Linked DNA regions of Alligator mississippiensis. The protein of the gene in region 1 interacts with the protein of each later gene in a pairwise test. Links are inferred from orthologs where the notes say so. Each region holds a gene or a part of one and is shown in the gene's direction. Other genes may lie near its edges.

Evidence for each region.
Region 2: the proteins of USP25 (region 1) and SYK interact in binary tests that used the Homo sapiens proteins (3 or more experiments, as listed by UniProt). The link is inferred for Alligator mississippiensis from reciprocal best matches to the Homo sapiens genes USP25 and SYK.

The regions. Positions count from the first base shown.
Region 1 is NC_081824.1:279,360,472-279,375,380, forward strand, and holds the start of USP25 (ubiquitin carboxyl-terminal hydrolase 25), read left to right. Parts: upstream 1-7,124; 5' UTR 7,125-7,299; coding exon 7,300-7,344; intron 7,345-14,909. UniProt on the Homo sapiens protein: Deubiquitinating enzyme that hydrolyzes ubiquitin moieties conjugated to substrates and thus, functions in various biological processes including inflammation and immune response.
Region 2 is NC_081826.1:212,106,967-212,122,457, forward strand, and holds the start of SYK (tyrosine-protein kinase SYK), read left to right. Parts: upstream 1-9,918; 5' UTR 9,919-10,082; intron 10,083-14,401; 5' UTR 14,402-14,449; intron 14,450-15,491. UniProt on the Homo sapiens protein: Non-receptor tyrosine kinase which mediates signal transduction downstream of a variety of transmembrane receptors including classical immunoreceptors like the B-cell receptor (BCR).

The DNA.
Region 1 (14,909 bases):
AGTGGTGAAGAATCATGAACAACCACTTCCTTCAAACATAGAATAGCAAGCTCTGTTAAATTAAAGAAAACAGTATTTTTTGCAGAGCTACCTCCCCTTGCTTCATTGCGAGACTCTCGCCTAGAACCTCCTCCAACTCTATACACTCAAAGAAACTGTAAACAGATCACCTCAGAAGTAATGTATGTAGGCATGGAGTTGGGGGTAAGTGATGAGCAGGAAGAGGAGTGATAACTTGAGTCAAAAATAAGCAGCAGCGTAGGGTTTGAAGTGAAGCTGAAAAGTTGTGAGGCCATTCTAGCCAACCAATGAGTTCCGCAATATTCAATGTTTTTCTTAAAAGCCTGGGACTTGGAGTCATGTCATTAAATGAAAATCTCAGCTCTTATTTTCAATAAATTAGTTTCTTGCCTTCCTGGTTACAGTCTCAGATGTAAGTGTGAACCCCAAAGCTTCAGAAACCACAAGGCAAACCAAAAGAACCCCCCAGTTCATTGTTTTAAAATTGAATACATTTGACCCCCCAAATCATAATTTTTTTAAAAATATGTGGGGTTAGCAACACCGTATTACTCTTACAAACTCTGCTTGCAAGCCAAGCTGTTCATGATACTAAAATGGGGAACTGTTGTAGTCTACTCTGTATGTATTCAAAATATAATTACAGGGGTTTTGCTGAGCTCCTTGGGTTTGTTTCCTTTTTGGTGCATGACACACCACAAAATATGTATGTGTTAGGACCTCAAAACCCAGGGTCCTATTATGATGTGAGAATCTCAGGTTTCATTTAAAAAAAAAATATGTTTCTAGCCCTACTCCTCATTGCAAGGAAAATTTGAAACATGACCCAAGTGTAACTGATGCAGCGAGATCTGCCTGAGTCTACAAACAGACCCTGGCAGAGGGAGGAGCAACTGAAATTACAGCCAGCCTAGTCCAATATCCAACATCACAGCAAATTCTGCCCACTCCTGCCCTGCGTTTCAGGAGGGGCAGATTAGGTAGGCGGGGAACTGAATGCCTCACTGGCTTCTGTAGGACTGATTTTCACTTAGTGAAACTTATTCCCTCAGAATCCATTTTTTCCTTTTGGTTTCTTGGCTTCATAGGGCAGTTTGGGCAAAAAAGTACCTAAATGCCATCAGATAGAGTATCAAAACAAAATGACATTCATTTGAATATGTGATCCTTCCTTTCCTTGTTTACATGGTTTATTGGCAGGGAACAATTTATAACAGTGATGTTTAACTCAGATACCCCCTGAGTATCATCAGTGGGTAAACTGAGTATATAGTTTAACACTTCACAGGAATGAAGAGGAATGGCAGTGACAGCACTGATTTTTTTTTTAAGGCTTGCTGTCAACAAAGGCTGATAGCACTAGAGCTTGTTAGAAAGTTTTCAGCTATGCAAAGTTTCATGGGAAACTCTCTGTTTTTTTAATCCAAAATATTTTGCTCAGAATGCCCCCGGTTTGATGACCCTGTACTTTTTGAGGGAACCCAGCTTCAATTCTTTCCTGGGCTCCTTGGGGCTGGGGTCTGTGGGAAACGCAAGTGCCACAACCAGGGGTGGATCAGGAGGTGGGGGGGGGGGGGCACTGGTGCACTTGAACCCCGCTTTGATTCCTGTTCCACCCAAATTTTAAAACAAAGTGCCTGGCAGTGACAGTAGCAATTCTAGTAAGTCAATGCTGAGGAAGTCAATTGACGTCAAGAGTCATTATCATCTACCTGATCCCTTCGAAACTCTTTATTTCACAGGTGTTAAGGATCAACTCTTCTTTTTAATGGTCTTGATGTTCCATCAGTCAAGCCACCCTTTATCTGGCTATTCTGCCACCTGTTAGCTGCTCCTGGTCAGGGCTTTTGATATGTCATTCTGTGATCTAGGGCAAAGCCCACCAGGTAGAGCTATAAGCTACCATTGGTGATGGGGGCCACTAAGAGCATCTGCTCCTCATCAGGAAGCTCCTATTTCACCGTTTTAACTCCTTTCAATTAAGTTTTATTTGTTTTTCTTTCAGTTTTTAACTAAGTCACATAGCCCTGGGCCCCTGGCATAGTTGTAAAGCTTCTAGTCTCTATTTTACTGGAGAAAACCATATATGTTATATACAATGGTGTAGCTCACCATCTACTCCCACCCCCTTTCTCAAAATCCTGGATCCTCTCATAGCCACACCCCAGGGCAGACAGGCCTGGGTGCAGGGGCTGGCTGGGAGCCCTTAGCAGGTGAAATGGCTACAGCTGCTTAGCTTCATGGTGGCCAGTAGTAGTGGTCCACATCACAACTTTCTCTGTTTCAGTGAGTGTTTCATAGAAGCGTAGAGAAGTCAGGCTGGAAGGGATGTCTAGAGGTCATCTAGTCCAATGGCCTTCCTGAGGCAGGATCATCCCTATCCAAACCATCTGGTACAAATCCATCATCTAAATGCTCCATAAGACTATAGTCAACCCTGACCCAACACAGACCTAACCCCCTAACCTGCCAGAGGTAAAGCAGGAAACAATGAGCAGAGTGCACTTGCCAGAGCCTGCTACCTGCTGGATGAGTCGAGGGAGTCAGTGGACACTGACAAGTGAAACCCTGCCCAGAGACATGAGTGGAGGAGCAACAGGCCTATTTGAAGTGCCACAAGGTCATGGGCTTTGCCCATTATGGAAAGCTATAAGCCTTCTTTAATAAGGGAGGTCACCAGGGGCCCATCAACTGAATACTTGGGACAAATAATAAGAAAACAGGAATGGGAGTGAGACCACAGGTTAATGACAAGGGATCCAGAAGTGGACACTGAGCAGAGTACACCAGCCAGCACCCACTGCCCCCTAAATGAGTCGGGGGAGCCTGTGGATGCTGGCTAGTGAAACTCTGCCCAGAGACCTGAGTGGAGGAGTGACAGGACTTTTAATATGTCAGGGGAAATATGGGCCCAGGTGCCCTTCAAGGAAACTGTAAGCCCCCTTTTGTACTAAGGGCCACTAATGATGTGTTACAGGTTACTTGGGACAAGTAATAATGAAAACAGGGAGAGGAGTGGAGGTCAAAGGTTCATAATAAGAGTGCCAAGGGAAGACACCAAGCAGAGTACACCAGGCAGTGCCCACTGCCCCTTGAATGTGTCAAGGGAGCCTGTGGATGCCCAGAGATGTGAGCAGAGGAGTGACAGGAAGACAGCTGTACACCTTCCTGGGGTCCCCCAGGCTACAGCCTTCATCCTTGTCTTGTAGATGGCCAGCCTGGCCAGAACCAGGCCTACTTGATGTGTGCTGATGTCATGGGCCTCAGCCCAACATGAAATATATAATCTCCCTGTGACAGAGCAGTAAACCCACCCTGTGCCAAAATCCCAGATGAGAAAAGAGAAACTTACCAGGACGAGCCCTGGTGGGGAGAAGAGGTGCAGCAAACCTGGGCGGGAGAAACGCCACAAAGGAGAACAGGAGGGTAATTAGCCAGATCCGCTGAGAGAGATGGGGAAGCAGTGAATCGGGTGCTGCCACAGCAGACCCAGCTGATCAGCGCAGGAAATTTAAGGGACACGGACAAGGCAGTCAGCATCGATCCAGAAGAGGAGGGCACAAAGAGGACCCTGAAGGAACGTGGGGAGATGCCGCCAGTGAGCGATCGACCCTGGGGTCAGGAAGGAGTCTTGGCAATTTACTTACCTGCAGAGACAAGATGACAAGGCAGCTGCAGTGTCCCAGCCAGTGAGTCAGATACCGGTGGGTGTGGGCAGCCATTCTAGGGACCTGGAAAAGAGATGAGACAGAGACGTGTGTTGGTGTGAGTCAGGGACGGTGTCCCCAGGTGGCACGGCCCTGAAGGATAAGGGCTGGAGTGAACTGCAGCGAAACTGGCTTGGGACTCGTGTGGGGAAGAGTGGGGCAAGTGACCAGGAGTGAGGCATGAGACTCCAGGAGTCTGATCAAGATAACCTGTGAGTTGAAGCCCCCATAGACGAGAACTGATGAGTAAATGCATAACATCTGGTGTGGAGAGGGCAAGGTATGGGGATGGTGGAGCCCTGGGAAGAGGAGCCAACCTCCTGAGTCACAGAGTTAACATTCATATTGTCTCATAGGACTGTGTCTATTTTTAGATCCTTCCTTTTTCCATCAAAGTTGTGGCAGACGAGTTCAAGGAGGATATCCGGTCTGACATGAGAGACTACAGCTCAACTTCAGGATGGCACAGCTGATCCTTCCACACCCCTCTTAAGAAGAGAGGCCCCTGGGGACCTAGCAACTAATTGCTTGGGACAACAATAAAGAAAACAGGAACAGGAGTGAGGTTATAGGTTAAGAACTAGGGCATTGTAAGTGAGCACTGAACAGAGCACATTAGTCAGCACCCACTGCCCTCTGAAAGAGTTGAGGGAGACTGTGGACGCCGACCAGTGAAACTCTGTCCAGAGACGGGAGCACAGGAATGCCAGGAAAGCAACCCCACACTGTCCTGGCTTCCTCCTGGTCAGAGCTTCCCTTCTGGTCTTGTAGATGGCCAGCTTGGCCAGAGCCAGGAAGAGAGGAGGTCCCTGGGGCTGCCTGAGGCAGGAATCATCCCTGTGCAAACCCTCTTATACAAATCCATCACTTAAATGTTACATGAGACTACCTTGACAAAGCTCAGACCTAACCACTTCATAACCTGCCACAAGAAAAGCAGGGCAGCCAACATGTCATGCTTCTATCAGTCATGGACTTGCAGAGAAGTGGGACTGGAAGGGACCTGCACAGGTCATCTAGTCCATCCCCCTGCCTGAGACAGGTTCACCCCCACCCAAACCATCCCCTTGCAGCCCACAGGGCCCAGAGCTTGCTGTGTACCAGCCAGTGGCGATGCGTAGGGGGTGCATATGCACCCGCTGAGAGTGCTGGTGCACCCCCTGACTGGCCACACTCACCCCTTAGGCAACGGGCAAGGGAGGGGGCACCCCTGTGAGTGTCAGCCTTGTGATTGGTGGGGGGATCCCCCGCATTGGTGAGATTGGCTGCAGGGGGATGCCCCCCAGTCACTGGCTGGTCGCTGGGGGGCATGTGGCCCACCACCCGACTAAGGTGGTAGCAGTTGCCCATGGTACCAGCCATTCCCAGCAGGAGCCTTGCTGTTCCAGGACTCGTGGGAGCTCATCCCACAGTTCCCAGCAGGGTCATCAAGTCTTAATATGATTGGAAGCTCAAAATTATTGTATTTGCTGAAAAGCATGTTGTACACAGAAAAAATAAGCAAATAAACATACAAACAAGTCTTATTCTTATTTATTTTATATTGCTCTCTATAACTCTTCAGTGAGTGAGTAAGAACTGGGTCATCAAAGTTGAAGTATTTCTTTATTTTCGAGGCAAGCAGTCATAAGAAAGTGCTGGCAATTTGGCTCTGATCAATCATGGCGGCATGTGAACCCGGGCTTGGGTTGGCACGTAGGATACCTGCCAATAGATTTGGGAGTATCTGAAGTCCCAGGGTGAGATTCTGGGACGAAGGATGCTCACCAGTTGTAGCACCATGTATAGTGTTTAGAATGACTGAGGTCTGCCAGCTCAATCCATAGGGCTTTTGGAATGACTTGAGTTCTGCTCAGTCAATATGATTTGGAACTGATTTGGCTGATTTGACCTAGAACACAAAATATATTATTATTACTATTATTCATAATAGTAACAAGAATTAATAATAACAACAACAATAATAATAATAATTTCAGTTAAGACTCCATCAGGGTGACTTGGGTGTTGTATATGCTGGATTAATTAGCTACCTCAAAAACCATTGTACATTTTGGGGATATAGGTTGTAGCCGTATTGGTCTAAAGGCAAAAGCACTCAGAACTCTTGCAGTAGAGGTGATATTTCTTATTAGACCAACTAGATAATTGGAAAAAATGTCTTTATTTGCAAGCTTTAGGGCTTATGTGCCTTTCATGGTTTTATACTTTCGTAGTTGTTAGGAGCTGGAAGGAACCTTAGAGATCCTGGTTTTCTCTGATTAAAAAAAATCCCCAATTTCTGAATTAAATAGAGTAACCCAAATTCCCCATTTTCCTGGGATTGTGGTTTTCTCCGATTAAAAAAATCCCCAATTTTTGGATTAAAAAAAGGAATGCAAAAATCCACATTTTTCTGTGACCAAAATAAAACACCATTTTATCTCTCTCTCTCTATGTATCTCCATGTTTGCATGGTCAAAATGAAACGTCACTAATACCTTTGTAATACATAATAGTGTTGTGAAAGAGTGAGTTCTGCCTGCTCCATCCATAGGTTTTTTGGGGCGGCAGTGTTCTGCTCTATCAATGTGATATAATTTTTATATCACATTGATTGAGCGGAACACTGTCGTCGTAGCAGAACACTAGTATGTATTATGTATGTCATAGCAGAACACTATTATGTATTACAAAGATATTAGTGACGTTTCATTTTGACCATGCAAACGTGGATTCTGGGTTACGTTTTTTGCTCCAAAGGCAATCGGGACTCACGGTAGAGGCGATACCTTTTATTAGACTAACTAGATTTTAAATTGGGGATTTTTTTATTTTATTTTTTTTAATCAGAGAGAACCAGGATCCCTGTTCCCCAGGCAAAGGCGAATGCAAAGATTGTTTCAGGGATGCATTTGGTCGCGGTGTTGCTCTGAGACCCGAGGAAATGCAAACATATAGAACTCTTGGTTGGGAGAGGATCCCTGTTAAGGGACCGGCTCCTCAGCTGGTCTGATACAAGGTATCCTTTCCGAACCAGGAGTCCTAGATTGTCGCCACGCAAAAATGCTAACATTTCTCCCAGGTCGGAAGGAAACTTCCCGCGGCAGGAGAAAAGTGGAGGGTGGGGCGCACATTAGAAACACTGTTACTATTCCTCATCGCACCAGGGTGGAAATGACCACGCAACTGGAGCATGATCGTGCACCTGAGCAAGCTGGCGCCTAGCCAGGCCCGGCTTTTGATGTTGTGGGAAGCGCAGGGGGCGTGCAGGCCCGGGCGGCGAGGCGCGGCTGCGCACGGAGGAAGGGGAGGCCCGAGCTTGGCACGGGGCGGAGGAGCGGCCAGGCCCGGCCCAGCCCTGCCCAGCCCAGGCGGGCCCGGCGGCGGCGGCGCTGCTGGGGCGCGGGGCGGAGCCGACGGCGCATTCCTGGGCCCGGGCCGCGCCGAGGCAAGCGGCGGCGGCGGCGGTAGCAGCCGGGCCTGCCAGCGCCCCGGGCCCGCCCCAGCAGCGCCTGCCCCTCCCCGCCCAGCCCAGCCCAGCTCTGCTGCGAGCCGCCGCCGCGGCCGCGGGCCCCAGCACGCCGGGGCCATGACGGTGGAGCAGAACGTGCTGCAGCAGAGCGGCGGCGCCAAGGTACCGCGCGCGGCCTGGCGGCGGGCGGGCGGGCGGGCACGGGCTGGGCCGGGGCGGGGCGGGGGCATCGCGGCTCCTTCCCGCCGCTCTGCGGCTCTGCGTGTGCGGGACTGCACGTGCGTGCATGCCTGTGCCTGTGTGCGTCTCTGCACGTCTGTGTGCGTGTGTACCTCTGTGCGTGTCCACTTCTGCGCATGGGGGGGCTGTGCGTGTGTGCACCTCTGCGTGTGCGTGTGTGTGTGTGTGTGTGGGGGGGGGGGGGGTGTCTGCATGTTTCTGTCTCCATGTGTGTCTGTCAGCGTGCACATGTCTCCGTGTGTCTGTGTGCGCACACGTGTCTGCCTGTCTCTGTGTGCGTGTGTGCATGTGTGTAGGGAGGGGCAGGTTGTAGCCATTCACCTACTGTAAACACTCCTCCACCCCCCAGTCCAGGTCCCTACAAGCAGCTTCTTGTTTCCTTTTCCTGAAGAAGAAACCTGTTTCCTTTTTCCTAAAGGAGAAGCCTCCGGATGTTGTGATGGTGGCAGGGTGGGGGGAGGGCACTGGCATTCCTGGAGAGGGTGTGTGTATGCATACGTGTGCATGTGTGCAAGCTCATGCCCCTTGCTGCAGAGCTGTTGGACATGGGTATCAAGGCCCTCAAGCTGGGCTGAGGCAGGACAACTGGTGAATGTAAACAGGTCTTGCTTCAGCAGTGACTGAGGCCCCAGGTGTCAGGCCCGCTGAGCCTCGCTGTCACAGCAGTGACTTCTGTGTCCCCCACACCCTCCGTGGAAATGGAGCTAGAATGAAGCCCTGCTGGCTGGCCAGCTGTGTTGGTTGTGAGGGGAAGCCCTCCATGGCCTGGTGAGACAGCAGTTGCCTGTGCGGTGGCTGGCATCACTGACGGGTCAGTCTCTCTCGCACCTTAAATGGGACACACGGCTGGAAAGCAAAGTCTGGCTGCTGCCTTTTGATTTGGAGGTAGTTGCATTTTGGTGGTGGTGTATATAGGCAGGGCGTGGTCCTGACACTCGTCAGAAAGCCCAACTAACTCAAGGGGGCAAGTAGCCAGTGTGAAAACAAACCGCTACAATAACACTTACGTACATAGGGGTGGAAGCTCATACCAGTACCTTATGAAGCACCTGGTTTTCTTGTGAGTGGAAAGGGACTACATAAACAATTCATAGGAGGAAAGAGGCCACCGAAATATAAAACAAAAGAAAGGCCTGTGCCTGCCTGTGTCCTCGGACCAACACGCCTACAACTGTGAAATAAAAGAAACAAACTCAACTCTTTGCAGTTCCTGTCAGGCCTAATTTAGGTAGGTATTGAGAAGCAGAAGTTATTCGGAGGAGGTGATACTTACAGAAGAGTACCTATGAATTGATCTGGCTGAAATGGAAAGTTGTGTACTTAGGGATTTTTTCCCCAGGCAGCATTAAAATTGGACTTGAGCAACTGGAAACAGTATAGAACCATTTAGCTCTGTGATTGATTTCACACTTGGGGCAGTAACTGTCGAAAACTGCTATTCTCTTGCTGTTACTTCACTAACATGAAATGAGTTGGTGACAGACATACAGCTCCTGTTGGGTAGCAAAGATAACGTAGCTATGTACCTTATTACATGAAGACGGCTATGCTAGCGTAAGTGTGCCCATACTGAGGGCTCTTGAACCTACCTTAACTGTGCCATTATCTTTAAAGTGGTACAACATCCTATTTTAGACAAGTTTCTAGAGAGAGGAAGGTGTCTACCTCTAAAAATTGTTGTTGCACTTTGGTAGGCATTTCCAGGGGCGAGGCTAAGGCTGCATAGACACTAGCTAAATTTGTCTTCTGGTACTTGTGCTGGTCAATACTGATTTAAAGTGAGATGTGCTAATAGGCTATTGTTGTGAACTTTTGCTGGCAGCTTCTGTGTTGTACCTTGTCTGTGAAAGAGCAGGGAGTTTTAGTTTCTACTGCTGCAAATGGCTAAAGGGAGGGTAGGGTGGCAGCTTACGGACTGACTACTGCAAATCTGACATGGTTTGTGAGCAGTAAATTCAGTTACAAATATTGTTTTTAATGAGGTGCTCTTAAACAGCCCTCTTCATTCTTGTATTGGAGGCCTGATTACAGGTACTTGTAATAGTGTACAGGCATTTGTAATATTTGCTGGTTGGGCTGAATTTATTATATTTCCATCAGTTGTCTAACAAATAATAAAATATTATGGCTGTCAGCTAAATGATTGTATTTGCTGATCAGTGTTCCAAGATTGCTTTTTTTGTTTCTCTTTGGAAGTTAAACTTGGGCTGCGGGCAAGAGATTAGTTCTTAAATTTCATCTTGTGTCCTAGACTGCAAAAACTAAATGAATTGGCGAAAAATCTACATCTGAAATCTCTTCTTGGAGGAGGAGGATGAACTGCTGTACTGAAGCATCTAATAGTCCATTTTTGCAAGCTAGGGAACAAACACACAACGAAAAAAATGACATTCCCTGGCTTTGAAGAGTTTGTACCTTTTTTGCATTGTATCATCTGAGAAAAAAATATTAACTTCAGCAGGGGAAATGGGATTTGGGCAATGGGATTAAAAAAACAAATGATCATATATATAAATAAATAAATAAACACATTGTCCTCAAGCCAAAAGTGATTAAAAGAATCTTACCCTAAAATTACTTTTTTCCTCTTTTCAGTTGTGGCCGTCTGTAACATCAGCCCCTCCCTCTCATTATACCATACTTTCTGCAACCTACTTTCTTTTCAAAATGTCTGTGAAAAAACAATCTAGAATACACCTTGCAAATTTTGACTGTTAAAAGAAATGACAGCTTCTAGACTCAGTAAGTGCAATGAAGAATTGACAGAGTGACAACTGAAAATAAGCCAAGAGATATTTTGGAAAATACATTAGGAAATGATGTAAAAGAATAAATTGGATTAATGCCTTGTCTGAGATGAAAGTTTAAAAAATGTTTCTGTTGTTTTTGTAGAACTGGAGTTAAAGATGATTTGTATTTTGCTTGTTTAGGAGTATGGTGTTTCTTGGTTTTTGTATTTCGGGCACATTTCCAAAGTATGTTGTGGCTGTTCGTCGTTAGTGTGAAGAAACCACATGTATGATAAAAATGTATTGAGTTTCCAAGAGATGACTATTAGTCAGCAGAATACTCTTACAACTGTGGTACTTGGTATCTGATTCATCAGGAGGTCTTGTTTTCTGTTACTCGGAGAGCATTTTGGATTTTTGTAGTACTTGAACCCAGGTTTATTTTGGTACAGTGCTCTAAATGTAGGGGGAGATGGGACTTATTTAGTTACTTGTTTTCTCAGACTAATAATGTCCTCCTTGCTTAATCACCAAAATCTGTATCTGTGCAAAGTTCAATTTTTACTTTCCTCATGCTTACAGATCATTTTGAGTTGATTTACTTCTAAATTTGGATTTTCTTCCCTGAATGAAACTTGGATTGTGCTGTCAGTCTTTTTGCTGCATCCACTTTTTCACATGTGATTCTGTGACGTTATTCAATAATTTTAGGGGGGGGGGTGTGATCTGTGATGCCTATGTTCCAATATAGTCATTGGAATAAAAATTGAAATCTTTTCTTGCCCTGTGATTCTAATATTTGATTCTATATACTTTTGGCTCCTTTGTGGCTTTGTCATCCACTTTTTTTCTTTCATTAAAATGTTTTTGATCAGGCTTCTTGTTGAACATTTAAGGAATATTTATTGCTTGGCTGTGTACTCCACATGGTCCTGAATTGCTGCCATGGGGCTGTTTAATTTGGCAAGCTTGTCTTCATGTTTTCTTTTCATAGGGGCACAGTTGTAGTCTGTCACTCTCCATGTGGAGAGCCCCTAGCTTGTCTCAAGGTTAATGTCCTTTAAACCTTGCCTCTAGTAGGAAAATTGAAATGCACACGATACTCAAATGCTGATGGTGATTACCAGCAGCAGCGGTGTACACGGGTCATATGTGCCTTACCCATTGTATCATTTAACTCCACTGATATGCAAGCTATTCCTAATCGTGATAGTGATCTCTGAACACCTGTCCAAGAAGAAATTACTTTAAATCACCAATCCATTTCACTCTGGCCCTAGACCAGCCTACCATAAAGATTTCGAGTTGATTACCCTACTTTGTATGTGAATTGGAGAAAGGCTGGATGAAGTTTGATGTGTAGGGTTAAAAAGCCTTTGTTCTGTCTGTACTACAGTTGTGAGAGGCAGGGATTTTTTTGGGTGATATCTATTATTTTATCAACTGTAGTAGAGTTAGACAAGCTTTTGAATACAAGACATTCATCGCAGTGGGATAAAGTTGGAAGTGGAAACTCGGTTCAACTCAGCTCTTCTTCCGAAAATACAGGGCACAGTCTTACAAATTCTTATTTCCTCTATTAAGGGCACCCAGCATTGATTACATAGATGATATATTGCTTTTTTGCTATGATAAAGACTACTTGTGTGGGTTTGGGGTTTTTGTTTGTTTGATTGGATTTTCCTTTGGAAGATGTTGAAGGGAAAGGCCACAAGCTGAAATGTACGTTTTCCCTAAATGCCCCTTCCATATATTTAATTTGTGGATTGTTGGTCATTTGACTCCTCACGTGGCTTCCTCTCCTTGTTGCCAGCTGCTAAATTGCAGTAATATGTAATGTGTATATGTTAAGTAACTCTCTTTTTTAGTTTTCTATCTAAACAATCATATTGGCCAGAAGAGTGTTATGAATAAAGGGAAAGGCAGTGGTCTTTGTCACAAAGTGGAAAGAAGATGGCCCTGGAAGTTATGTCTTTGTAATGTGGGTAGTGTATGAAAGAGCCCAATTGAACTTCTTAAGTTTTTGTGATGAAGTTTGACAGTCACTGAAACGGTAGCAATTGTGCATGTGATTTAGAGCTCTTAGTACTGTGCCTATATATGTTTTTGCCAGGTTCACTGCAAAGGCATGTTTGAAGGAGTGCCAGCTTTTGAGACGGGGTTCAAATTATTCTTATAATTGAGAATGGGGTATATAAATCCATGTTATATGTAACTACTGCTTCTATTCAGGCTAACCTGAATATTTAATAAATACTACATAATCAAGCAGATGTCAGTTTTATTTAAAAATTTGGTTAATATAAAAGCTTCATTTACTAGCTGACCAAATGATTCTGAATTATGATGATAATGATATTATTTTATCAGTCTTCTACCTTTGTGGAAATGGAATTTACATTAATAAAATTAGTGAACCACGGTATGAAATTACAATGAAATGTTTTTTTTAAAGTCCAAACTAAATCTTGTTGGAGTTTATGGAAAAGTATGCCATGTTTGTTTTGTAGTAACATCCAGGAGTTACAATCAGAGTACTGGGCTCTGTCACACCATACAAACGCTTAAAAAAATATCAGTCCCTGTTTTGAAGTGCTTCTTTGAATGGCATTTGGATCAATTCTCAAAAGATCAACTCCACTTCAAAATATGTGATTATAAAAGGCATCTAATTTATACGTTTTTTAAAATCTTCATGTTCTGAAATGAGTTGTCTCCATTTTCCTTTTTTTTTTTTTTTTTAAACAAAATCAGCATCTCTGGGCTAAGTCCATTTTTATGGCTATGATGAAAAATATTTATATGTCAGTAAAAAAAAAAAGAACAACTTGATATTTAAATGTTAAAGAGGTATATTGTAAATAAACAAAATAGTTCCCTGGATTATATCCCTAAATATCTTACATCATAAAACATGACCTGCAGATTTGTGTGGGAGGACAATTTGGCATGTCCTGTTTTGCACACTTGAGGCCAGATCCTAATCTACCTTAAAAATGTTGAAATGTCAATAACAGCTTTTAGTCACTTGAAACTAAATATGATTCTAACTGCCAATGATCCTTGCCACTGAAAGGATGTGCAGTTTCTTTACTTGTTTTCATTTTATACCATTGCATGCAGACAGAAGCGCTCCACTAAGACCTCTGTTGCAATCCTAATCCATTTTGGAAAGTGTATACTATATTCTACATATTGCATGTTCTTAAATAAGATGAGCTCCTTATTTTGGGAAGCCAGAAAGTGAAAAATAGATTTTTCCAAAAATTTTAAGTGTCCCAGCATGTGATCTCTGTGGCTGAATGATGGGTTTACCATAGTTTAATGCTCCGGTCACTCACCCTCTAGATGCAGCACAGGAGCTTCAGGTTTAGCTGTATCACAGCCACTGCCAAATTGGTAGCTCAGCCAAAAGTAACTGCTAGTTTGGCAGCGACTGTAACAGGTTTAAACCTGAAGTTCTGGTGCGGCAGTGAGAAGGTGAGGAGTGTCTCTGTGAAGCACAGAGTCCAGCATAAACCTGCCATTCCTGCGGGCATCCCCATACTTCTGTTCTAGCATGGAAATCAGATTCCTCACTTAAACACCAACTCTAATTTTGGTAGGTTAATTTTTTGGGGGGGAAAGGTGCATGTGTTATGGGAATAAATATGGCAAGTCCTGAATTTTTAGTTTGGAGGAGAATCAAGATTAATGAGGAGGTTAACCAGTAACCTGGTGGTTAGGGAATTTGCCAAGGAAGTAGGAAATTTGGATTGTTAGGTTGTTCTTCGTCTGAGGGAGTTTGAACATCCCACTTCCCAGCAAAGTGCTCTAACCATCATGGTTTAAGTAAGGATGAGAATACCCTTCACTTTCCTGTTGAAGTGCAGCCACTGGATGACCAAAATGGGAAAAATCAGGGGTAGGCAATCCCTGGCACATGTGCCAGAGTATAGTACAGCAAAAGCATTTTGCTTGATATGTGCACCTCAGGTGACGGGCTGTGCTGCCACAACAAGGATTTGGCCCTTCATGGCTCCCCTGGCACGCCAGCATCTTACAAACTGATGTTGTGGGTGTTTTTGGCACTCTGTCCAAAAACACTGATGACCCCCTGGGATAAGTCATGGGGCTAGGAAGGACAGCAAGCAAGAAGGGTGACTGGCAAAGCCAGGATAATACTGCTCTGGAGTGGAGGGAACTCTAATGAGCCCTGTTCCCATTGCTATTCCAGTGTTTTGTACAGAAAGGTCATTGGGTAAAATGCATAAACAGCACTAGGAGCAGAACACATTTGGCTGTTATCTGTTTTGTGCTGGGAGAGCTGTCCCCTAGGAAGAATGGGAGCTTTTAAATACCCTTTTAGGCTGTTACCTGCCTTTTTGCTTGCATAAAAAGGTTGGCACGAGTTAAACAGTTCAGTTACGGTACACAAGAAACATGCTTTGAAACATTCAGTGGGTCAGCCAGCCAAACCAGGGAAAAAACACGCTTCATATTGTTTACATTTCTTGGGTACTGGTTTCACTGTGACCAGTAAGAAATGGGCAGGGGTTGGCTTTCTACTCTGAGAAACAAAAGTAGACCAGTGAGTTTCACTTTCTATCTCTTGGATGCAAACTAGTACAGTTGTGCAATGTTTTTGTTGCCGGGAGTGGGAAGGGGGCATTAGTTCAAACAAAATGTGTTGTTTTTTCCTTTGAGGAAGTACTCTTTAAATAAGTGTTCTGCATTAGAGTGAAAACTAAGCTGCTCTGGTTGTGGCCCTCAGCAATG
Region 2 (15,491 bases), on another chromosome or scaffold:
TAGCTTATAGAACTACTTTCTATGCTTCTTATTTACCATAGACTCAGTAAACTGAAGACGTATGTCTTGAAATTGGGTATTTACTGATGTCTTCTAATTCTGTTGTGATTCTTGATTCGAGACAGACTAGAGGAACAGACTGGAGGAAGCAAATAAACTCCTTCATTAACAGCAATTCGATGACATTCCAAATGCTGTTTCCCTGTAAATTCAAGCAATTGCACTGATCATAATAGTCCTCCTGCAAGAACAACAGGCAATCAAATGGGGATGCAAGTGGCTGACGGTTGTCAGGGTGACTGTAGGCCAGGGGTGGGCAAAATACAGCTTGTGGGATGGATCCAGCCCACGAAGGGATTTTATTTGGTCCATGATGATCCCTTGGACCCACCTGGCCTAGGAGAAGGGGCAGCCTACGCTGTGGCATGTCCAGCTGGTCCTGCCACCCCCAGGCATACAGCAGGGCTTAAGCAGTATAGCAGCTGGACTTGCTTCCTGGCACCTACCACTGCCAGTCTCCACCACTGCAACCAGACCTGGCCCTACCACCTAGGCACCCTGGCCCTACCACCTAGGCGCCCTGGCCTGTCCTCCCCATACCCACAGCTGGGGGCGCTGGATGGAGCGGGCAGGTGGTATCTCCATGAAGACTGGCCTGGGACCTGCATGGGCAAGGCATGCTCAGTTGGGTGGATAGGATGGGTCCATGGGCAGGCAGGGAGCAGCACTGAGTGGGGTGGGTGGGCAGGACCAGGTGCGAGGCCAGGCCTGGGATTGGGATCATGGGGGGGTGATGGTTCGGCACTGGGGTTTGGGGTCTGAGGCCTGAGGAAGAGCGGTGTTCTGCTGCCCACACATACCTGCAACAGGTGCCAGTTCTGCGGGCAAGAGAATGTGGGGAGTGGATCGTGACTGCCCGAGGCCCCAGCCCCATGCTGTCACTGCTCAGCAATCCTGGGTTCTCCATGGACACTGCCTGGGACCAACATAGACAGGGAAGGCTCAGGTGAGCAGGTGGTGTGGGTAGGCAGGAGGCCACATCCAGAAGAGGGACAGGTAAGGCTAGGGCGGGGGTTGGGCCAGGGCTGGGATTGCAGGGCAGTGAGAGTATGGGGCCAGGAACCAGGACAGAGCCATGATCCACTCTCCCTGCTCCACTGCCCATGATCCCAATCCCAGCCCTGCCCCACCCACCCATCCTACTCCTGGATGCCACTCCCTGACTGCCTGTGGCTTCATCTCATCCATGCTTAGCCATCCCATGGCTAAGCATGCCCTGCCCATGTGGGTCCTGGGCTAGTCTCCATAGAGACCCCAGGATCACTGGGTAGTGATAGCATGGTGCTGGGCCCTGGGGTCTGGATCAGAGCCCCTTAGAGAGTTTCGGTGAGCTGCTGTAGGGTGGTGGGCGCTGACCCGACCTGGCATGGTGGGGTGGGGTGGGGGTGGAGTGTTGACCCAGGCTGCCACAGCTCACCAAGAACTCCCTCAGTGGTCCTTCAGCCCAAATAATTGCCCACCCCTGCTATAGGTTGTAATTGCTAGATAGTGTTTCAGTGGAGAAAGAATGAGGAGCAGCCCTTTATTTATGTATGTATTTATTTATGTATTAGGTTTACATAGTAAAGCTATACATATACAGTAAAAGTTCTGTTAACTGGCATCTTACAAGCCAGCATGCTCAATTAACCAGCATGCCAGCTTGTAAGATAAAGTGAAACCGGAAGTACTCACCATGGCACATCCAGTTTCTACGAGCCCCCAAGGCTAAGCAGCCTGCACTGCAGAGCCCCCATGGCCCAGGGGTATAACAGGCTGTGCATTCCCTAGGGATGCCGGATAACAGACCTTTTACTGTATATAGGAAACCTATACATTTAGAGAAGAACCTAAAGGAAGTATATAAGGGGTGTGCATCAGGATCTGGAGGAACATCTGTTCACCAGAGCGCCCCAAGGGATGACAAGGTTCAGCGGTCACAAACTTCTCCAAGACCATTTTAGGCTGGACATAAGGAAAAACTTCTTTACTGTCCAAGCCCCCAAGGCCTGGAATAGACTTCCTCCAGAGGTGGTACAAGCACCTACTCTGGACTCTTTCAAGAAATGTTTGGATACTTATCTTGCTGGGATCCTTTGACCCTAGCTGACTTCCTGCCCCAGGGGCAGGGGACTGGACTCAATGATTTTCTGAGGTCCCTTCCAGCCCTAATGTCTATGAAATCTATTAAATCTATGAAGCCATATGCAAGAACAGATTCTGAGTAGACAGGAGGGAGAAATGGAAGCTCAATTTGTGGCTCCAGCAGAAATAAAAAAAACACCAGGAAAATGGGGAGACCAAAAGAAACTCTACTCAAGGCAAATGGCAGCAAGTGGGGGATAGAATGAATGAGGATAGTGGCACTTTTCCTCTTTTAGGTGTCTTGCTGAATATTGGAGGTAAGTCCTTCACACCAAGTAGATCCAGATTCTTGGCCAGATTTGCAGGGGTTTGGTTCCCATAAGTAGAGAATGAAGCAAAATATGCTCACATGATCTTTATGGTTAAAGATGGAGTGAACACTTAGCAAGAATACTGTGAAGTGCCTTCAAACCAGGAACCTTTCCAGGAAGGCTGTAATACAGATGCATGGCATAGTGCTGTAGCTGGACTGCTGAGTGCTAGGGCCTTACTGGATCAGATTGCAAGCACCAGTGATTTTGAAACTTCCTCAAGTGCAGATAAAATGTAATAAGAAACACAAGGGTGATTAGTGTTATTTTATCTGGCATGTTCAGTCATAGGCTGTTGGCAAAATACTGGCTTCCTCTTTGCATCTTCACATTTGATTACCTTAAAGGTTGCAGAATTTAAAAAGCTACCAAATCCTTCCAGGAGCATGACTCATACTGCTTCTGATTTTGCTAGCTACATTCTCCCCATAAAAATCTTCAAAAAGATTTGAATGTGCTAAGACTTGCCCCCATTGCATAGAGTACAATTATACATAGTAGGAAGACTGCTAGTTAGCAAATTTGAAGACTTCCTTCCTGCCCCTGCTACCCAAAAAACTTAGCATATTTGAGTTTGAGGAACACATCACAGTTGCATTTAATTTTATGTGAAAGGCTAATCATAAATATTTTAAAATCAGACCTGTAAATACTAACATGAACTTGATGATTCCTTTACTTGATTTCTCTTACATTGCTCATGCATAGTCCATGATACAGTACTGATTTTTCATTGATTTCAGCGAGACATCTGTTAAAAATATAAACATTCAATACAGAGCTAGGTCTTGGTAATGGTTTTCAGAGGGCATTCTGATCACATGCTCTATTCACAGGGGGAGGTGAAAGAGGGAACAAGTCACCCAAAATTGATTTCTTAGCTTTTTTTTTTCACAGTGTAGGCAACGCCAATTGAAATAGACCTACAATATAGAAATTGTCAGAAGATCGCAACATCAGTGAAAAGGACTGGACTGAGATCTGAAAGAGAACCTGCTTAAATAAAAATCCTTTTCAGTATAGTTAGGAAATAGTGACATTTAGAACTTTTAGGGCTCTATTTGTGAGATTATTCTCCCAATTTGTGATTTTAAAAAAAGGAAATAATTAGTGTCCCATAGAAAATAAGATCTTGTTCCATCTGCTGAAAGGCAAGAGTTTTCAGTCAGTGAGTATCTTGGTGCAACTTCAGTAGGCAAGAAAAGATTAAAGGCTGGGCTAAAAACCTTTCAAATTCCCTAGGAGCTTCCAATTCGTGTGGGTAATTTAATCTCTATCTCAGATCCCCATATGTAAAATGGTGATAACAATTGTATAGTCTTTGGGACAACAGCCAGCTCTGTATTCTGTGTTTGCAGTGCCTAGCACAATCAAGTCCCTGACTTGAGTTTCTTAATGTTTCTATGACACAGACAATAAGGCTGCATGAATATATATATTTTCACAATATATCATGTTGAAATGTATTAGCCATCACATCCTGAGTCACTACATGGCTCCAAAATAACCACATGCACAACTACAGGCTGAGGAATGACTGGCTTGGTTACAGTACTGCAAAGAAGGACCTGGAGGTTATGGTGGACCGTAATCTGAATATGAGCTAAGTGTGCTCATATTCAAAAATGGCAATTTGCATCCTGGGTTGTATTAAGAGGAGTGTTGCTTGCAAATCAAGGGAAGTGATTGTTCCACTGTATTCAGCACTGGTGAGGCCTCACGTGGAGTACAGTGTCCAGCTTGGGGCTGCACCTTCAAGAAAGATGTGAACAGTTTGGAAAGAGTCCAGTGCGGGCAACAAAAATTATTAGGAGCCTGGGATGCAAAATTTATGAGAAAAGGGTTAAAGTACTAGGGTTATTTAGCTCAGAAAAAGAGCACTTGAGGGGGAAGTTGATAAGAATCTTCAAATACTGGAAGGGTGACTATACAGAGGATAGAGGTGGGCTTTTCTCTGTGGCTGTAGGGGACAGCACTAGGAGCAACGGCCTCAAGCTGCATCAGGGCAAGTTTAAACTGGATATTAGGAGGAACTTTCTATGAGTGGTCAGGCTTTGGAATAGGCAGCCTAAGTGAAGTTGTGGATTCTCCATACTTGGAAACTTTCAAAAGCAGGGGTTAGATAGACACGTGGCTGGAATGGTTTAGTCAGGGGTGATCCTGCCTTGAGCAGAGGGCTGGACTAGATGACCCCATGAGCTCCTTTCCAGTCCTACTTTCCTATGACCCTAAAACCGAACTTTTTGTTGTGTAAGAGCACTTCTCATATTGAGTGTTAGACCCTCTGTTATGGAAACTTTTTTTTCAAACAGTGCTAAGTGAATCAGTTGACATCATGGCTCCTTATCATCTCCCGGGTTCTTCCTCCTCTATGCTTTTTAGTGGTCTTGATGTTCCACCATTCAATCTACCCTTCTGCAGTTTGCATGTCTGTTAGCCATCCCTGGGAATGTCTCTCTTCTGTTTCATAGTCCTGCAGACTGTTGTTAACTCTGCCTAAAAATTTTAACTCAGGTGGCAATATTAACTTCAGGGTAGACACGCCTGGCTGAAGTATTGAAGGCACAGTCAAGACTTTCAAGAAAGCTAGCATTTGTTTTATGAATCTAAGTGAGAGATGTACACTTAAGTGTAATGGCTGCAGGACTAATGCCACTCTATTTTGACTATGTTTTGCCTTGTATGCTTTCTGTATTTATTCAACTTTAAATATAATCTAGCAATTCAGTGCACGTTCCAATACTTATCTTTATTTTAATTTTTGCTTTGATCTTAAACTGAATAACTAAGCACTAGCCTAGCATGTCGGTAAAGCTTTGCATTTCTCTTTAACCGGAGAAAAATGTGTGTTGTGCTCTTTGGGATGACGTGCCACATCATCTGCACCACCCACCCTTTTCTAAATCCTGGATCCATCTGTTCTGCGTGAGTCTGTGTGTGTATGTTTATGTGTTTATGTATCTGTCTGTGTGTGTTTTTCTGCGTATGTGTACATGTCTGTGTGTGTTTATGTTTGCATATGTGTGTGTGTATGTTTGTGTATATGTATGTGTGTCTGTGTGTGTATTTTGTGTGCTTCAGGGGTATGGGTTATAGCCGTGTTGGTCTAAGGGTAGTTTCCTCAGCCTGATGGAAGGGTGTTTGTACATGAAAGCTTGCAAAGAAGATTTTTTTCCAACCATTTTAGTTGGTCTAATAAAAGATATTGGATTTACCCATAGAACCTCGTCTGTATTTTGTGTGCACGTTTACATTTGTATGTGTGTTTGTGTGGATTCATAGATTCATAGATTCATAGATGTTAGGGTCGGAAGGGACCTCAATAGATCATCGAGTCCGACCCCCTGCATAAGCAGGAAAGAGTGTTGGGTCTAGATGACCTCAGCTAGATGCTCATCTAACCTCCTCTTGAAGACCCCCAGGGTAGGGGAGAGCACCACCTCCCTTGGGAGCCCATTCCTCCCTGCCCACTCTAACTGTGAAGAAGTTCTTCCTAATGTGCAATCTAAATCTGCTCTCTGCTAGCTTGTGGCCATTATTTCTTGTAACCCCCGGGGGTGCCTTGGTGAATAAATACTCACTAATTCCCTTCTGTGCCCCCGTGATGAACTTACAGGCAGCCACAAGGTCGCCTCTCAACCTTCTCTTGCGGAGGCTGAAAGGATCCAGTTTCTCTAGTCTCTCCTCGTAGGGCTTGGTCTGCAGGCCCTTAACCATATGAGTGGCCCTTCTCTGGACCCTCTCCAGGTTATCCGCATCCCTCTTGAATTGCGGCTCCCAGAATTGCACGCAGTACTCCAACTGCGGTCTGACCAGCGCCCGATAGAGGGGAAGTATCACCTCCTTGGACCTATTCGTCATGCATCTGCTGATGCACGATAAAGTGCCATTGGCTTTTCTGATGGCTTTGTCACACTGCCGACTCATGTTCATCTTGGAGTCCACTAGGACTCCAAGATCCCTTTCCACTTCCGTGCTACTCAGGAGGTCATTCCCTAGGCTGTAGGTGTGCTGGACATTCTTCCTCCCTATGTGCAGCACTTTGCATTTCTCCTTGTTGAACTGCATTCTGTTGTTTTCTGCCCACTTGTCCAACCTGTCCAGATCTGCTTGCAGCTGTTCCCACATCTCCCCATAGCTTTGTGTCATCTGCAAACTTGGACAGAGTACATTTCACTCCCTCATCCAAGTCACTGATGAAGACATTAAAGAGTATCAGTCCAAGGACCGAGCCCTGCGGGATCCCACTGCCCACACCCTTCCAGGTCGAAACCGACCCATCCACCACGACTCTCTGGGTGCGACCCTCCAGCCAATTCGCCACCCACCCGACTGTGTAGTCATCCAAGTCACAGCCTCTTAACTTGTTCACCAGTATGGGGTGGGATACCGTATCGAAGGCCTTCCTGAAGTCTAAGTATACGACATCCACCGCTCCTCCTGTGTCCAGGCGTTTCGTAACCTGGTCATAAAAAGAAACTAGATTGGTCAGGCATGATCTGCCTGCCACGAACCCATGCTGATTTCCCCTCAGCATAATTTGTCCTGCCGGGCTCTCACAAATGTGAGCCTTGATAATTTTTTCAAAGACTTTGCCAAGGATGGAGGTGAGACTGACAGGTCTATAGTTGCCCGGGTCCTCCTTCCTCCCCTTTTTGAAAATGGGGACCACGTTGGCCCTTTTCCAGTCCTGCGGGACTTGGCCCGTGCGCCACGAGCTTTCAAATATTCCCGCCAGTGGCTCTGCAATGATGTCGGCCAGTGCCTTCAGCACCCTTGGATGGAGCTCATCCGGGCCTGCTGACTTAAAGGCATCCAGTTCTTCCAAATGACTCTGTACCATTTCAGGGTCTACGCATGGAAGTCTGGCGCCTTGCTGTTGCCTCTCTACAACCCCAGTGAGAGACTTGTCGTGCCCCTCACTTAGGAACACTGAGGCAAAGAACTCGCTGAGGAGTTCAGCTTTGTCCCCCCTGTCCGTCACCAATTGTTTCTGCCCATTTAGCAGGGGTCCTATTCCTCCCTGGGCCTTCCTTTTACTACCTATATATCTAAAAAACAATTTCTTGTTGTCTTTTACTTGGGATGCCATCCTCAGCTCCATGGTAGCTTTGGCCCGTCTAACTGCCTCCCTACAAGCGCAAGCAGAGGAGGTATATTCGTCTTTGGTGATCTCTCCCTGTTTCCACTTTTTATGTGCTCCCCTTTTGTCCCTTAGGCTGCCCTGGATTTCTCTGGTCAGCCAGGGAAGCCTCCTGGCCCCTTTCCCTCTTTTGCCTCGCTCGGGGATCGTCTTGCTTTGTGCCCGAAGGATCGTTTCCTTAAGGCACAGCCACCCTTCTTGGGCTCCCATCTCTTCAAATCTCCTACTCTGCAGTGCGTCCTTGACTAATCGCCTGAGTTCATTGAAATCAGCTTTCCTAAAGTCTAGCACTTTCACCCTACTAGTTACCTTACCCACTCGCCGTCTTATGGTGAATTCTATTATTAGGTGATCACTGTCCCCCAGATGGCTACCGATCTGGAGGTCCGCTATCATGTCATCTCCCGTTGCCAATACCAGATCCAGTATGGCATTCCCCCTAGTGGGACCATGTACCTCCTGAGTCAGGTGGAGGTCCTATACACAGGTTAGAAACCTGCGTGAGCGGTGGGACTTTGCTGTCTGTGACTCCCAGCAGATGTCAGGGTAGTTTAGGTCCCCCATGACTACTGCCTCTTTAGCTTTTATGGTCTCCGAGATTTGCCTCAGGAGCCCTGAATCTCTTTCTTCCCCTTGATGTGGGGGTCTGTAGCAGACCCCTACCACCAAATCTCTTTCTCCTTGCCCCCCATGTAGCCTAACCCACAATCCTTCTACTTCCTCAACCTCGGATTCTGTCTTGATGAGGGTCGATGTATATTGCTCATTGACATAGAGCACAACCCCTCCCCCTTTCTTCCCCACCCTGTCCTTTCTGTACAATCTATAGCCCTCAATATGTACCGCCCAGTCATGGGATGAATCCCACCAGGTTTCTGTTAGCCCTACTAAGTCAAGGTGTTTAGTGCAAGCAGGAGCACTAATTCATCCTGCTTGTTTCCCATGCTCCTAGCATTAGTATATAGGCACTTGAGCCCTGCGACTGGTGCCTTTGCTGCCCCCCCGCTCCGAGTCCCAAGGGGCCCTTTGATTCTTACCTTCTCGTTTCTTACCTGTGCCGTAGTGCTGGCCTCCCCATGGTTTTCAGGTTCCCAATGCTCTCTTTCTTCAGGCTGGGCTGTCCTTGTGGATGTATGCCTCTGTGTGTATGCTTATGTGTATATGTCTCTGTGTGTGTATGTATGTCTGTGTGTGCATTTATGTGTGTGTACATGTGTCTGTGGGTATTTATGTTTGTGTGTGTATGTGTGTATGTATGTGTACAGGCAGTCCTCAGACTTACGACATAATTGGTTCCTGAAAACTGCATCCTAAGTCGAAATGTTGTAACTCGGAACCGTTTTTCCCAAAGGAAACATTATAAACAGGGATTCGTTCCTCAGCCAAGGCCTGATACTCTGTTTTCACTAAAAATACCCCAAAATTTTGTACTTGATCAATTATAGATGAGTGATATAGCTACATTAATGTATTTATATTGTAAATAGCAATCAGATTGATTTGGAAGGACTTCTTTGAGGTGACTTTGCTGGACTTTTTGAAGGGTTCTTGGCTGGAGTCTTCTCAGGAGTCTTGGCTGCAGGTTTTTCTGGAGTCTTGTCTGCTTTCCTAAAGAAAGTGTCCAAGGAAGTTTGGACAGATGTTCTCCAGGGAGATGGATGACGCAGCAAACTGGTTCACTGATGTGGCATCGAGTTGGATCAAGCATTGTAAAGTCAAAACTGACATCAGAAAATTGAAACAGGGTGTCAATTTATAAATGTTGTCAGTGCAAAACGTGGTAACTCGAAACATTGCAAGTCGAGGACTGCCTGTATGTCTGTGTGTATATGTGCGGTGTGTGAGTGTATATGTAGATGTGTGTATGTATATGCATGTGTGTATGTATGTGCATGCGTGTGTATATGTGTCTGTATGTGTTTGTGTATGCATGTGTGTTTGTGTATGTAGATGTGTGTATGTATGCGTTTCTGTGTACGCATGTGTGTGGTTGTATGTGTACATGCGTGTATGTATGTGTACGCATGTGTGTAAGTATGTGTGTGTCCAATGTGCGTGTTTGTGTGTATGTATGTGCATGTGTTTGTGTGTATATGGGTATGTTATTGTGCATATGTGTGCGTCTGTGTGCGCACAGGTCCGTGCGCGAGTCCCTGGCACGCTTCTCCCGGCGCGCCCAGGACGCAGGCAGCACCCCGGGGTGCCGCCACCCCCGGCGCCGCAGCCCCGCGCCCTTCCGCAGGCCGGGGCCTGGCCGGACCGTGCCCAGGAGGAAGTGTGCGAGCCGCCGCCCGCCTGGAGGAAGTGGCCGCGGCTGCGAAACTAGGAAGCCGCGGCTCCCGGCGCCCTGAGCGCGGGGTCGGGACGCAGCGGCAGGATCCTCGCCGAGCCCCGCGCCCGCCTCAGCCGAGCCCGCGTCGGACACTCCCGCGCCCCGCGCCCAGGTAAGAGCGGGGCAGGGGGAAGCAGGGAGCGCCAACCCCCAGAGCATTGTGGAGGGCCGGGCGGGCTCCCCGCTGCACCCAAACCCATGCCGGCGGCTCGGGGGAGACCTGGGCTCCTCCAGACAGCCGGGCCGGTTCATTCGTGCCGCTCCCCGCCCCGCCCAGGGCTCCTTGAGGGGACTCTGCCCAGCCCTCCCCATGTCCTGAGGTGTGCGTCGCTTGTCTAGAGGGAAAGGCATCTAAAACTCTTGAGAAAGAGGTGATATGTTTTATTAGACTAACTAGAGAGCTGCAAAAACAATTTTTTTTTCATGCTCTGGCCACACACCAGGGACCCCCAATGGCAACATTGCAGCCGCTCTCTCTTTCTCCCTCCCCCAAGCCTCTCAGAGGGTTCAGCGCCCTTCGGAGGCACCATTTCAGTGCCTGTCGCCCACCAAACTTGCCAAAGTCCCTCCATGATGCCGCCAATTCTGACCCTCCGCCACAGATACACCTCCAAGTCACCTACCCTCCAAGTCTGCCTTCTGCCCAGCTTCAGGCTTCCTACCCTCTCAACAAGCCTTGCACCCCATTATTTTTCAGGTAACATTTGAGGGGAAAAAATGTTGGGAAAATAATAGGGAGAGAATCCACAGGGATCCTTCGACCAAATCAAAACCGTACGGTGATTCAGCGAACGCAGTAGTGACATTGGGACAAGCGAACAGGCCAAAACCACATGAGATGAAGTCCATGGAGAAGGAGATGCAGGTTAGGAAGGCACACGCAAAAACAGAAAATGCACCCATGGGTTTGAAAACAAAACACTTTAAAAAGCTGTTTTGAAACTCTGGGCAATGAAATGAGCATGGAAGCAAATGAGTGCATCTGTCCTCTCTGCAAACAAAACAAGGTTCAGAGCTTGCAGGGGTGAGGGGTGATTGCAATGTGCCGGTTAGCTCCCTTGAAGCCTAACAAAAGGTCATTAGTTACATTTTGTTTCTTTTTCTTTCTTTTTTTTTAGCAAACTTCCTTAATTTTTTTCCAAGAAAGACTAGAATAGTGTTAGAGGTGACGAAACACATTAGATACAAGAGGCCTAAATCACTATACATACATATATATATATATATATATATATATATATAAACAAATTTTGGTAACACCTTTGATAGAGAGCCTTATGCTGACATCAAACAAGGAGTGACACCAGGAAGAGCACACACCAACTGCTGCAGCTTCCTTAGCCTGACGAAGGGTTTTTGAACCCGAAAGCTTGCTTAATAACTATTCTCCAACCATTTGGGTCGGTCTAATAAAAGATATCAAATTCACCCAAGGAACCTTGTCTGCCTATGTCCTTAGACCAACAAGGCTACAACCCGAACCCCTGCAATGTTATTTCAGGACACTTGAGCATGGTGACATCATCTTTTGGGCCCAGCCTAGCAGTGCTTCTTAGACACAGCTTGTACTGACTCCACTGGGAATAAGATCAAGCCCAATGTCATATTCCTTAATTAGGCTACTTATAGGTAGATTTTTTTTTAAAGAAAAAAACTACCACTTGTAAGATTATATTTTTCCCCTCATTCAAGGAGCCATTTACATGATCATTTGTAATTGGGGTTAGTAATCTTTATTTTGGGCATTCTCCCACAAGCCATACACAGAACACTTGTATGTTCTGGACCTTTGGGGCCTGATTTTGTGATGTGGCCATTAGAGCAGACCCCATAGTCAGCTCAAGCTCTGAAATAAAGGGCCAGAAACTGTTGCAGCCCAAAAGCACTTTTAGCGGGTACTTTTACAGGAACTGTAACAACTTCTCCTTCTCAGCCCTTTGTTGAGCTTGAGACCGATAAAGACAGAAATAAGGAAGTTTGAGACATCAGTATATTTATATTTTGACGGTTTTCTTCGGGGGGGAGAGGGGAGTGGCTTGGAGAGAAGCCTTATGAATATTTAAAACAACTTGGAATAAAAGATTTAAAACCAGTTTAGGTTTATCAAAATTGCTGAACTAATTAAAATAAATATCTACCGCAGTTTTGAACTGAGTTGGAAGAACTTCTAAAATCCCAAATTGTACTTCATAAACCTTTCAGGCTTTGTTTTTCCTAAAATAGTAGTAATGTCCATGAAATCAAAGAGGTAAATAGATATTCTCTGTTACCTTTCTATTTTCTAGCCGTTGTGGTTCTGTTGATGTAGCTGAATTAAAAATTTGATCTAATGTCTTGAAAAACCAACTGAAAGTTATTTTGGGGAACAGCTAGCAGGTGTTTTTAAAAAGTTACTCTGGTCCCAAAATAACTTTTTTTTTTAAGACTGGTATGTAAAGTTTCACTTGAAAAAAGTTTAAACGTGTAAATTGAATAACACGAGAGTTACATGGACAGTTTTTAATCCCATCTTTTTTTCTTTCGATTTGCTATATAAGTGGTCCAAGCTTTCAAAGTCTGTGGCCAAACTGTCGTTGAAGTCAAAGGGATCATGCTCTTCATTTTTAAAGGGGAGATTACATTTCCTTTTCTTTCCTAACACTCGCACAATATCCTGTACTGAGACTAGGACCTTTGCAGAGGTATGAAGCAATCAGCAGGGAGGAACATACTGGATTTCATTTATGTTCTAAAATGTTATACTTTTATTTCATTTGTCTTCATTTGCTTTAAAGTCCTGATTCAAAATCTGAAGACATTGGAAAGACTAACATTGATTTCATGAGGATTTGGTTTGCAAAGGACAGGTGGACTGTCTAGCTCAAATTCTCCCTTGCCTTTCACTTATTCAAGCCACAATAATTGACAGCTTTGGCCCTTTGTATATAAATAAACAGTAATGGAAATTTAGACCCATTTCTTTTCTCTCCTCTAATGAAACATGGCAAAGAACAGCTCTTTATGGTGAAGGATTTTACTGAAACCCTTTATGCACTAAAATGCTGTGCAACTTTGGGGCCAAAGCAGCCACACTTCTCAAGTTTGAGTCTTAAATGCCTTTCTTATCAGGTCAAGATTTACTGGGTCTTTATTCAATTTAGGCCAGATTCTACAATCCCCTATTTATGTTAGTAGCCCTTTTTAAATCAGTGGGACAATTCATGTGGGAGTTCTCACACATCAAAATCTGGCTCTTGAAAAAATATGATTTTATTAAAGGGAAACAAATTTTACAACAAAAATTTGCCTGCAGTTATGCATTCTTCTAAACTATTGAGAACCTCCTTTTCAGTTTCTCAGCCTGAATTTATACAGAATACCCACTTGTCTTCCAGTATTTAAGTTGAATTTGAAAAGTCTCAGTGACTACTGCTAAGAGTAAAGATTACTTATTACCTTGCAGAATTGGTCCCTTTTTCCTTATGCCCTGCATGCATAGTAGAACACCAGAGGCACACACTAGATAGTTACACTACTTTTGTTAGCATTATACGTTCAGACTTGCAAAAGTATATTGTCATTGAAAAATGATAGTTCACTTCTGTGTTTCCCATCTGTATTTTAAGCCCCAACAGCAAGGTTAATTTGCTTTACATGTGACACTACAAAATTAACCAAAAAAACTATGAAAAGAAAAATATACACATCATGGCTTCTCTTGGACCATCCAATTTTTAAAACTGAAGTTTTACCCCTGGTAGAAACTAAATCTAGTCTCTGGCAGTGACCAAAAAAAATCATTAGGCATTGGTGGCCTGAATAGATCTATCCAAATGTTGTTGTAAAAAACAACTATAATGTAATCATGTATAATTATTATTCATATTCGCATTATGTCCTATATTAATACAATTAAATACATATTGCATGTTCATATAAATTATACAATTGAACATGTATTCTGCAAATTAAGTTGAAAGTGTGTGTGTGTGTGTGTGTGTGTGTGTGTGTGTGTATATTGCACAAAGCAAGTGAGGTTCCCGTTTGAAACACATTGTTAATAAATGTACAATATAAAGTCTGCAAGGTCTCTTCAATGTTCATGGTCCAAAGTTAAAAATAAGTCATAACTTCCTGTACAGATACTCATATTGAACTGCGAACTTAGTTGTTAATGCACATATGTTTGTGGAGGAAGGGTAAATTTTAGACTCTTAAATATAATGCAGATACTTTTGGACTCTAAAGATGTGCTCAGTCTACAGTAGTTATTGTGTCTTGTACAATGGGCAAATGGTCGTATTTGGCATATAGTTACACCACTCCACGAGTATTCCACTATTTCAAAGAACAACTTTGCTCTAGCATAGTTTTATTATCACTTCATTTATGGCCAGTGCCGATTAGAATGCATTAATTTGTTGAAACTTCCTTTTTTTTTTATTTAAATAGCGCTTCATCATGCCCATGTACACTGGGATTAGACCTCCCCAGCACAAGGTAACGTAGACTGAATGTCCTGCGTGCAGAATAACAAGGGCAAGATGCAGGGAAACCATGTGAGCAGTCCACAGCTCTTGTACTCTGTGTGCAAAGCTGTGAGGGGCTATATACTAAGGGGTTTAAGAATGGAATTCTTGAGTTTGTGATTGCACAGATAACCAGTCTAATTCTCTTTGTGGGGAGTGTCTGCTTTTCAAGGGTACAGTCAGCTCTAGTTGGGGATAAGAAGGCATTGGATAGATGTAGGGCTTCCAGGAAAGTTCTCAAGGAAAATTGCCTTCCTATGGGTCCACATACAAATCCATTTCACCTCTTCTCTTCAGCAGAATGATAGGAAACATCTTTGTGAGCACTAAAAATAACAGTAGCAATAATTTACTTGAGTGCCATGAAGTGTATCTATAAAGTTAATTGAATATAAAATTGACGTTTCAGCTTTAGTTTCTTTACTCCTGCAGACTCAAATTAGAAAGCCAGTGCTGTTTAGATGGAGACATTTTATTAAGATTACTTTGTTTTTTCCAGCTACTGTCTGTCAGATGGCTCTTCTGGTTATAGCGGAAGAAACCACAGATTTTTATATAACAGTAGCATAGAACATGAGGATGGAAATAAGAACTTAAGAGGTCATCAAGGTAGTAAGATGTAGTGAGTTAGATGATAGCCAGATCTGCAAGAAAAGTATTAAGGAGGCAGTATTACTGCATGTAATTCTCAACCAGGTGCTGTGGCACCCTTGTGTGCCATGAGATCCTTTTAAGGCTCCTGTGCAGTGCCGCTCATTATTAAGCACTGTTAGGTGTACAGGCACCTATACATGATTTACAAGACAAATCCAGAGATTTTAAATAGGAAACCATAGTCTCAAAAACATTCTGATGTGTTGTGGTTAGAGATCAGAAGGCAATATTTTTACAGTTAGGGTGGCCAAAATCTGGAACCAACTTCCCAGGGAAGTGGTCCTCTCCCCTACCTTGGACAAATTCAAGAGGAGGTTGGATGATCACCTGTCTAGGGTCTTGCGAACCCAGCATTCATT